2 linked regions of the Sus scrofa genome follow. The protein of the gene in region 2 binds, or shares a complex with, the protein of the main gene of each other region. Links are inferred from orthologs where the notes say so. Each region holds a gene or a part of one and is shown on either strand. Other genes may lie near its edges. The genes, in order: RABGGTB and PTAR1.

Region 1 (4,559 bases), on a different chromosome or scaffold from region 2:
CTTAACACACTGAGCAAGGCCAGGGATCAAACCTGTGAACCCACAGATAGTAGACAGGTTTGTTAACCACTGAGCCACGACAGGAACTCCAAAGAAGAATTTTTCTGGGGGGAGGGGTCTTTTCTGGGGCCACACTGACAGCATATGGAGGTTCCTAGGCTAGGGGTCGAATCCAAGCTGTAGCTTCAGGCCTAGGCCAGAGCCACAGCAGTGCAAGATCTGAGCCATGTCTGCAGTCTACACCACAGCTCACGGCAATGCCGGATCCTCAACCCACTGAGCGAGGCCAGGGATCAAACCCACAACTTCATGGTTCCACTGAGCCATGACGGGAACTCCCAAGGAATAATTTTTAAGATAAAAATTATTAGGGCTAGAAACATCATCACTTAATGATAAGTGGCTTGACTCACCAGAAATAGATAGTTCTAAACTTAACATGCATTTAGTAATACATGTTATCCTAGCCTCAAACTATACCTGGGGATAGCAATTGAACTAAGAGAGAAATAATGAAATCTATCATCATAGTGGATTCAATATTTTCTCAGTTATTGATAGCTCACACATATCTCTGCGTAAGGAATTCTTCCCCAAATTCTTACTTTTCAGGTTTTTTTTTTTCGTCTTTTGAGGGCCACACCCTTGGCATATGGACGTTCCCACGTTAGGGGTCTAATTGGAGCCATAGCTGCCAGCCTACGCCACAGGCAAGCCAGATCCCAGCGGAGCAAGGTCTGCGACCTACACCACACCTCCAGTGGAGGCAACGCTGGATCCTTAACCCACTGAGCGAAGCCAGGCATATAATCCACAACCTCGTGGTTCCTAGTTGGGTTTGTTTCTGCTTCGCCATGATGGGAACTCCTGAAAAAAAAAAAAATTTAAGAGTAGGTGCCAGTATTTTCTGGTAGGTGCTCAAAATACTTTTAAGGATTAAAGTCCTAAGAAAGCACAGTTACAAATAGCTGCATTAACACACCTAGCAAAGCTGAATTCGATGGAAAGCTTATAAGAAGCATAACGGTGTTTCCTTTTCAAAAACAATCTCCAAATATTGCAAATATTAGAACTTCCTGAAAGAGGAGGGAGTAGGTGAGAGTTAGCTAATAAGAGCTGAATGTGAATATTTATTGCACACGTAATTACGGTGCAACTCTATTTATTACCAGGCATTTCAAAGATCCTCAACAATAAACGATTTCTTAAAAGTTATGCAGATATTTAAACATTACTTAAAACAGTTTTAGATAAAACGGCGGTGTTTAAGGGACAAGAAAACGGGCTTAGAGACTTTAAGCACAGGCAGCGAGGACAGCCATGAGCAGCCGATGGGGTCCTAGAGCAGCCTCGGGATCCCTCTTTCCTTCAGGCGGGAATGTGGTCACCTAAGTCTGGGCGCGGAGGGGACCTGAGAGACGCTTCTGGGCAGGCGCGTGCTGCCTAAATCCGCCCACGAAAGAGCCAAGTTCTCTTTTCGCTGTCAGACATGGTGAGTGTGGACGTGTATTGCATTGCTGTCCGGATGGCTCGGGAGGAGCCTGGGAAGGGTGATATTAAGCATTTTAGTCACCGGTGGGTTGTTTACTAAATATTGGAGAATGGTCGCGTTAAGATAGAGGTCTTGGGAGTATTTTTGAGAGCGGGAGAGAGGGTGAAGTATTATTCAGCGTTTTCTGCAGGCCTTGCATGCGTCGTTGCCGCCTCTGATTTTATTCAGACTTCCTGCTATCGGTCGGGCCTCCTGGTTCAACAACCGGATTTCTTAATTTCCTCCTAAAAACTGGGCAAGTCGGTAGTACCTTTTTCCTTCTATATGTAGGTTGAAGCATATATATATATATATATATATGTATGCGTTAGAATTATTATCCAATGTAATAAATGGAGTAATAAAATTAAAAAAGAATTATTTAAGATCTTTAGAATGATTAGCGGTACGATCTTGTTGACCTAGTAAATTTTAATGGGCAATGGGCTAGACAAGAAATTGACTATTATTTTTTTGTTTTGTTTTGTTTTCTTTTTAGGGCTGCATCCATGGCATAGGAAAGTTACCAGGCTAGGGGTCCAATCAGAACTGTAGCTGCTGGCTTATGATACAGCCACAGCAATGTGGGATCCAGGCCTAATCTGCGACCTACACAACTCGGAGCAGTGCCTGATCCCTAACCCAATGAGGAAGGCCAGAGATCGAACCCACATCCTCATGGATGCTAGTTGGATTCTTTCTGCTGAGCCACAACGGGAACTCTGAGAAATTCACTATTTTATTATTGATAACTGTTGTGACCTACTTCAAATAAAACAGTAAAGTACAGTCTTAGATATAGATCAGAAATGTGGATAACTAGAGCAGCATTCTCGTCCCTTGGGGACTTGTTGCATTTGGGGAAACAGGCTAAAGCTGGAGAAGGTGAGTCTAAAGGGACTGCTTCCTTGATAAATAACCTTTGAGGTATATGGAAGGTGCTTCGAAGTTCCCAGAATTTATACAATTTCTAGAGTTAAACTTCATTAAAGCACTTAACTCAAATTATGGAATAAATAGATTTTTATTTTATTTTGGTGTTCTGTGTGAAAGATAAAGACAGATGAAGGTAGTATTTTTGGGTCGATGATGAGCTGGCATGTATTCTGAATCTAAAGTTGATTAGTACTACTTTAGCTCTAGAATTACTCTGAGACCTGAAAAATACTTGGATCTTTATGAAGGACTTTAGTGCCTTGGTTTTTCTTGGCCAGATAATTTTAAATTGAAAGTTTTCATTTGGCAACACGAAATAAAAAGTTCAGATGTATATTGAACACATGCTCTGGGGTCAAATATTAAGAGATAACTTATGAAATCAATTTATTGTGGAAGGGTACACCGCAGAAGGATGTCATTATCAAGTCAGATGCACCTGACACCCTATTCCTGGAGAAGCATGCAGATTATATTGCATCCTATGGCTCAAAGAAAGATGATTACGTATGTATGCTTTTATGTTGAAAAGTTTATACTCTTAAAGATGTAGACCATTCTGTAAATAGATCAGTATGGACCATGTTGGTATCTAACTCCTGCGTGCCAAAGCCTGAAGCTGTATCCTTGAGTATAGTGAATGCACCTTTGGATATCTGTTGAGGGACCATGGGAATTAACCATGTTTCTTACTTTGGTAGGCAAAGTAGATTCCCATTCGGCCCAGATCTGTATGAATTATGAAGTACGGACTAGATTACTATTTTTGTAGTTTAGACAATATTTTCAAGGTCAATGATGTGTTGGCATGTATTACCTGAGTTTACAGTGATGTGTAGTAACACTAAAGCTCTAGAATTACTCTGAGACCTTGAAAAAGTTCAGCCCTGAAGAATGGCTTTCCAAGTTTTCCTCTCTGGGACAGTCTTAGAAAAAATTAATGAACAACTTAATTGGAAGTAGATATTTTACCGGTGTAACAGTGGCTGTAGGGCTTTGTGTGTTCAGTATCTAAGCTGGCATCAATTCAAACTAACACAGTAAAGTAATTCTATATTTTAGGAATACTGTATGTCTGAATATCTGAGAATGAGTGGAATCTATTGGGGTCTGACCGTAATGGATCTCATGGGACAACTACACCGTATGAATAGAGAAGAAATTTTGGCATTTATTAAGTCGTGTCAACACGAGTGTGGTGGAATAAGTGCTAGCATTGGACATGATCCGCATCTTTTATATACTCTTAGTGCTGTCCAGGTAAATACTAAAAACTAAGCAGCCATGATAGTTTATTCTCTTACCTGAGAGTGGGGAAATTGAAACTAGGTATTAGGAAGGTGAGAGAAACCAGTATCTTTTCATATGACATCTATTCTACAAGGTCAATGATGTGATGGCATGTATTAGCTGAACCCGAAGTTGATGTAACTCTAAAATTACACTGAGACCTTGGTAAAGTATTTATTTTCAGTATATGTAAATATTTGAGAAATCGTCAGTGGACGTGTTTTTGTTTTAAGCAAGAAAAATCTTTGTTTAAGCCATGGAACTCTGGTTTATTAGCATATTGTATCCTATCCTGAAAGATATAACCTAAGTCTTATAATAGAAACTAGCATTTCTCAAAGAAAGTAGTATTTTCTTTTTTTTTTTTTTGGTCTTTATAGGGTTACACCCACAGCATGTGGAGCTTCCCAGGCTAGGGGTCAAATTAGAGCTACAGCTTTCAGTCTACGGCACAGGTACAGCAACTTAGGATCTGAGTGACATCTGCCACCTATACCACAGCCCACGGCAACACCCGATCCTTAACCCACTGAGCGAGGCCAGGGATTGAATCTGAAACCATGGTTCCTAGTCAGATTCTTTTCTGCTGTGCCACAACAGGAACTCCAGCAAGTAGTATTTTCTACAGAATTTCATGTGGAACATATTCAAAGAGAATAACATAACGGATTATATAAATTGGCCAAAGCCCGTTTACCATATGTGTAGAAGCCTCCTTCATTCAGCTATTTCTTATGTTGCAAAACCTTCCTGCATGGCATTTGATTCCCTCCAAGGCTGGCTATTTCCTCCCTTGCTATTC
Region 2 (3,820 bases):
AGACTCATTGTTTAGCAGGAAGGAACTACACAATTATTTTACCTCCAAAGGAATGCCAGTTCTTAACAAATAAATAAAATGAAAGATGTATTATGGACTTTGAACCTAAAGATGAAGAACACATAGTTAGCTATAGTTAGCCAAGAATAGCAAACAGTTCATGCAACTATGTAAATAAGAAAGGAAAGCAATATTGCACTAAAAGGGGAACCTTGCAGGACTAATCCACCTCTTTCATTGACTCAACGTAACCAGCCACTTCCTGTATGCATTGGCAAATCTGGCCTGCTCTACATTCCGGCAGGTGGACAATACTTGATCAATGAACCTGTGCTCCATTTCCAGGCCTAGGGAGTCTGGAGCTGGGGTCCGCTTCAGGCGTTTGGTTTCCTGGGAATAGCCTTGCTTGCTAGAGTCACTGAGTCCATCCACCTCCATTGCCTGAGATGTGTGGGGGCCTGCTGGGATGAGGTGCAAGTCACTCAAAGTCCCCCTAGGGCTGTCTGCAGGTGACAACTGGGTCATGCTGTGAGGAAACCTACTATTTAAGTGATGCTGAAGGTAGAAAATATGCCGCCTGTGAAACATAAGGAGGAGGAAGAGAAGAAAGGAGAAATCAGATTACAAGGTCAAGCTCTTCAGAAAAAACAAAAAAATAGTTGATAACTTCAAAGTATACAGTACTCAGTTCACTGCCCCATTCGTAACTCAGAGCTATCTGGGGGAAGGAGAAAAAAGTGTTAATACAGTTAATACAACCCCAAAGGTTTTTTAAAAAACAGTGACCCAGATGATGACAATCACCTGGAGTTGTTACTCTTTGTAATTATAATATGAAATGAGAAAAAGGTCTTAGTCCAATCTCTGGAATAAATTAAAATATAAAACAAAACCAAAAATTAACCTCAGTAATACCCTAAAAGACAAGTGATTTTCAGGAGTTCCCTTTGTGGTTCACCAAAAACAAATCTGACCAGTATCTATGAGGACAGAGGTTTGATCCCTGGCCTCAGTGGGTTAAGGATCTAGCATTGCTGTGGCTATGGAGCAGGCCAGCAGCTACAGCTTCGACTCAACCCCTAGCTTGGGAATCTCCATAAGCCGCGGGTGCGGCCCTGAAAAAAAAATAAAAATAAAAAATAAAAAAATAAAAGTGATTTTCAGAAATAAGAGGATTAAATAGCTCCTCTAAAGGGCTCAGTCGATGGCCTCTATCCATTACTTTCTTTAATAAGAACAGAACTGCTGCAGTTGGTCTTATTAACTAAAAACCCTAAATTTTTAGTTAATAAGGGTGATGAATTTTCCCCTAAAGCCATCACTGTAGTTTCATTAAACATCCACATGTGGTAGGGATGTACTGGGCTTTGAGAAAAGTATGTTAAAAGACACAGTTCCTGTTCCCCTTCTAAGGAGAGTTCTCCTATCCTTAGAATCATCTGGAGTGATTTGTTAAAAATGAAGATCCATGTGCTTAATCTCCAAATATTGTGACTATCTGGGTGCATATCTGCTGTACACAATGAGGTAAACTACATAGGCTCTAGGTATTATACCTCATTCATATTAGCAACTCTAAGCCCTTAAAAGAGAATTATATTCATTTTCTCAGCTTATTCTGGAGCAGACAAGGGAGTATATAATATAAAATATAACTATTTTACAGAGAATAAAATTTAAAGGACAGATAAGCTGCATAAAGGTACTGAATCAGTAGAAAAGTAGCCTGTATAATATTGGCATCCCAACTGTCTCTTCTCCCCCCTCCAAGCCCCAATTAATCTTTATGTGAACAAAAAGAAGTCTGTTCTAATAATCAAGTTATCCCTCAAACAAAAATATAATTTTTAATATTCTCTAAGCCTTGTCATTAATGTGTCTAAATATAAAATAGCAATAAAAATCTGCAACACCAAAATAACATACAAGTCAAGATTTATCTTCTCTACTAAAAGCGTGGATTAAGAGTGTCTTATTTTTAAGAGAAAAAGAAAATTCTGTATTTATTAAGGTGCCAAAGAGGGGAGACTGTCTTCCATCTTCTAATATATCTTCCAAATATATTTAGACTGGAAAAAGGGAATGAATCTCAATTAACTTTAAAAATAAACAATAAAATGCCTACCTCTGCCTAGCACAGGCAAGTCTTTTGCCTACAACAAAATCCTATGACCTGACATAAAATCTATCTATCTATCTATCTATCTATCTATCTATGCCAGAGATGCCTCCAACTAAATGATAAGCCCAAATAAACCTATCGGGGGGTTTGTATTCCTGGATTTCATTGACTTCAACATGGAAATTACTTTCAAATGTACTCAAAACTCAAGTCATGGGGTTGCTTACCCTCTTTTACTCCTTCCTAATAATCCTCATCCACTCTGAAAGTACACTTTACTCTAAAAAAAGTGTCAGGAGATTATATTTAAGGTAAGTTAATTTGAGGACAAGCAGCTTAACTGTTCAGAGTATAATCAATGGTCTCAAAACCCTTACATGCAACAGATTTATCTGTTTGGGATTTTCCTTTATTTTTAAAAAACAGAGGGCAGGACTCCATCCGAGATATGCTAAGTATCAATCAATCTCTAAGGAGGGAGTCCAGAAACTTTTTTTAGTTTGGAAAAAACACACGTTATTCTGTTGCAATCAGGGATGAATACCACCATCTTGAGCAGTGGGCATATTGATGATGACCAGGAGGAGGAGGATACACTCACACAAACTCCTCTGAATCACTCAAAGCACCACAATCATCAGATGACCATATTTATCCAAGTAGGCAGGAGTCAGATCTAAGACTTCTATAGCTCTCAAAAGGATACAGACAGTTTCATGCAGGAAACATATCTTCCCTTTTCTTACCTATGACACCAAAGGGTTTCATGTCCTGGGTAGGAATCAATAAGATCAGTGCTGAATTCAACTTCTTCTTCTAGAAGATGGGGAAGATTTATCCTTGATTCCTCTGCTGAAGCCACTGCTTCTTCACCTTTTGGAAGAACTATGCCTGGCTCACTTCTCAAAGGATTTTGCTCCGATATAGAACCATCTGTCACAGTTTGGCTAATCAAAGATTTTAATAAAAACTGGCGGTAGTGAAATCCACTGTGGTCTGAAACATGCATGGACGCCCAGTGTTTAGTAGAAGACAGTTCATCAAGAAGAATCTTGTTGGAAGAAAAACAGAAAATAAAATGAGGAATTGCCAAAGGTTTTATTTTCTCCATTAATGTTTTGCATTTCTCTTTGACTCATTCTTTGTTTTGACAACACCATTCCTACCTATATTTTTGTGTACAATCTCCAAGAGTGTTGTCAGAGAAAGCTCAGTAAATACCAGTTTTCCCTTTCCTTTATAAAGTAATGGATTTTTTTTTTAAATATCACAGAATTTAAGGTCCTTTCCTGGACCTTGATCAATCACATTCTGACTGGCACACACATAGAAAAGTCAGATCCTAAAATAATGATAGACATTTGGGTATTCATTTTCAAGTAATGCTTATGAAGGGAAAAATGTAAAATCAGGTCACTTTGATGGAAACTTCCTTTTGCATTTTATGAATCTGTACCATATCTAACTTACTATTTGTTCAACAACAGACTCAATATAATCATTTTTTCTTCACTGTAAGTGTCATCAGTGCAGAGACCATGTGTGTTTTGTTGACTACTTAATTCTAAGGGTTCAGTACAAAAACACGATGCATAAATAATAGGAATTTTCAAGTGATTGTCACTTTCACTATTTGTTGCAAACTTACTTAACATCAATGATAAATGGCTTTTTAAAGTAAAGACAAAATTCAGCAGT

What was found.
Region 1: the proteins of PTAR1 (region 2) and RABGGTB are in contact, whole or in part, in a crystal structure (PDB 6O60), measured with the Homo sapiens proteins. The link is inferred for Sus scrofa from reciprocal best matches to the Homo sapiens genes PTAR1 and RABGGTB. Residues at the interface, in NP_001093136.1 of Homo sapiens: Val61, Lys62, Leu65, Pro66, His69, Leu73, Arg76, Leu97, Asn98, Asp100, Phe101, Thr102, Thr103, Asn106, Lys109, Glu110, Leu113, Ile141, Arg144, Trp145, Pro192, Ser193, Tyr195, Ser199, Ile202, Trp203, Gln206, Val231, Ser232, His234; in NP_004573.2 of Homo sapiens: Lys6, Asp36, Tyr37, Cys40, Met41, Glu43, Tyr44, Ile89, Gly90, His91, Asp92, Asp136, Trp138, Glu140, Phe177, Asp178, Gly182, Cys183, Arg184, Pro185, Gly186, Ser187, Glu188, Ser189, His190, Gln193, Trp217, Glu221, Arg222, Pro225.

Annotation. Positions count from the first base shown.
Region 1 is NC_010448.4:137,531,045-137,535,603, reverse strand, and holds the start of RABGGTB (geranylgeranyl transferase type-2 subunit beta), read left to right. Parts: upstream 1-1,471; 5' UTR 1,472-1,489; coding exon 1,490-1,492; intron 1,493-1,494; exon of another isoform or gene 1,495-1,575; intron 1,576-2,866; coding exon 2,867-2,974; intron 2,975-3,529; coding exon 3,530-3,727; intron 3,728-4,559. UniProt on the Homo sapiens protein: Catalyzes the transfer of a geranylgeranyl moiety from geranylgeranyl diphosphate to both cysteines of Rab proteins with the C-terminal sequence -XXCC, -XCXC and -CCXX, such as RAB1A, RAB3A, RAB5A and RAB7A.
Region 2 is NC_010443.5:223,037,383-223,041,202, forward strand, and holds part of PTAR1 (protein prenyltransferase alpha subunit repeat-containing protein 1), read right to left. Parts: intron 3,174-3,820; coding exon 2,869-3,173; intron 578-2,868; coding exon 235-577; 3' UTR 1-234.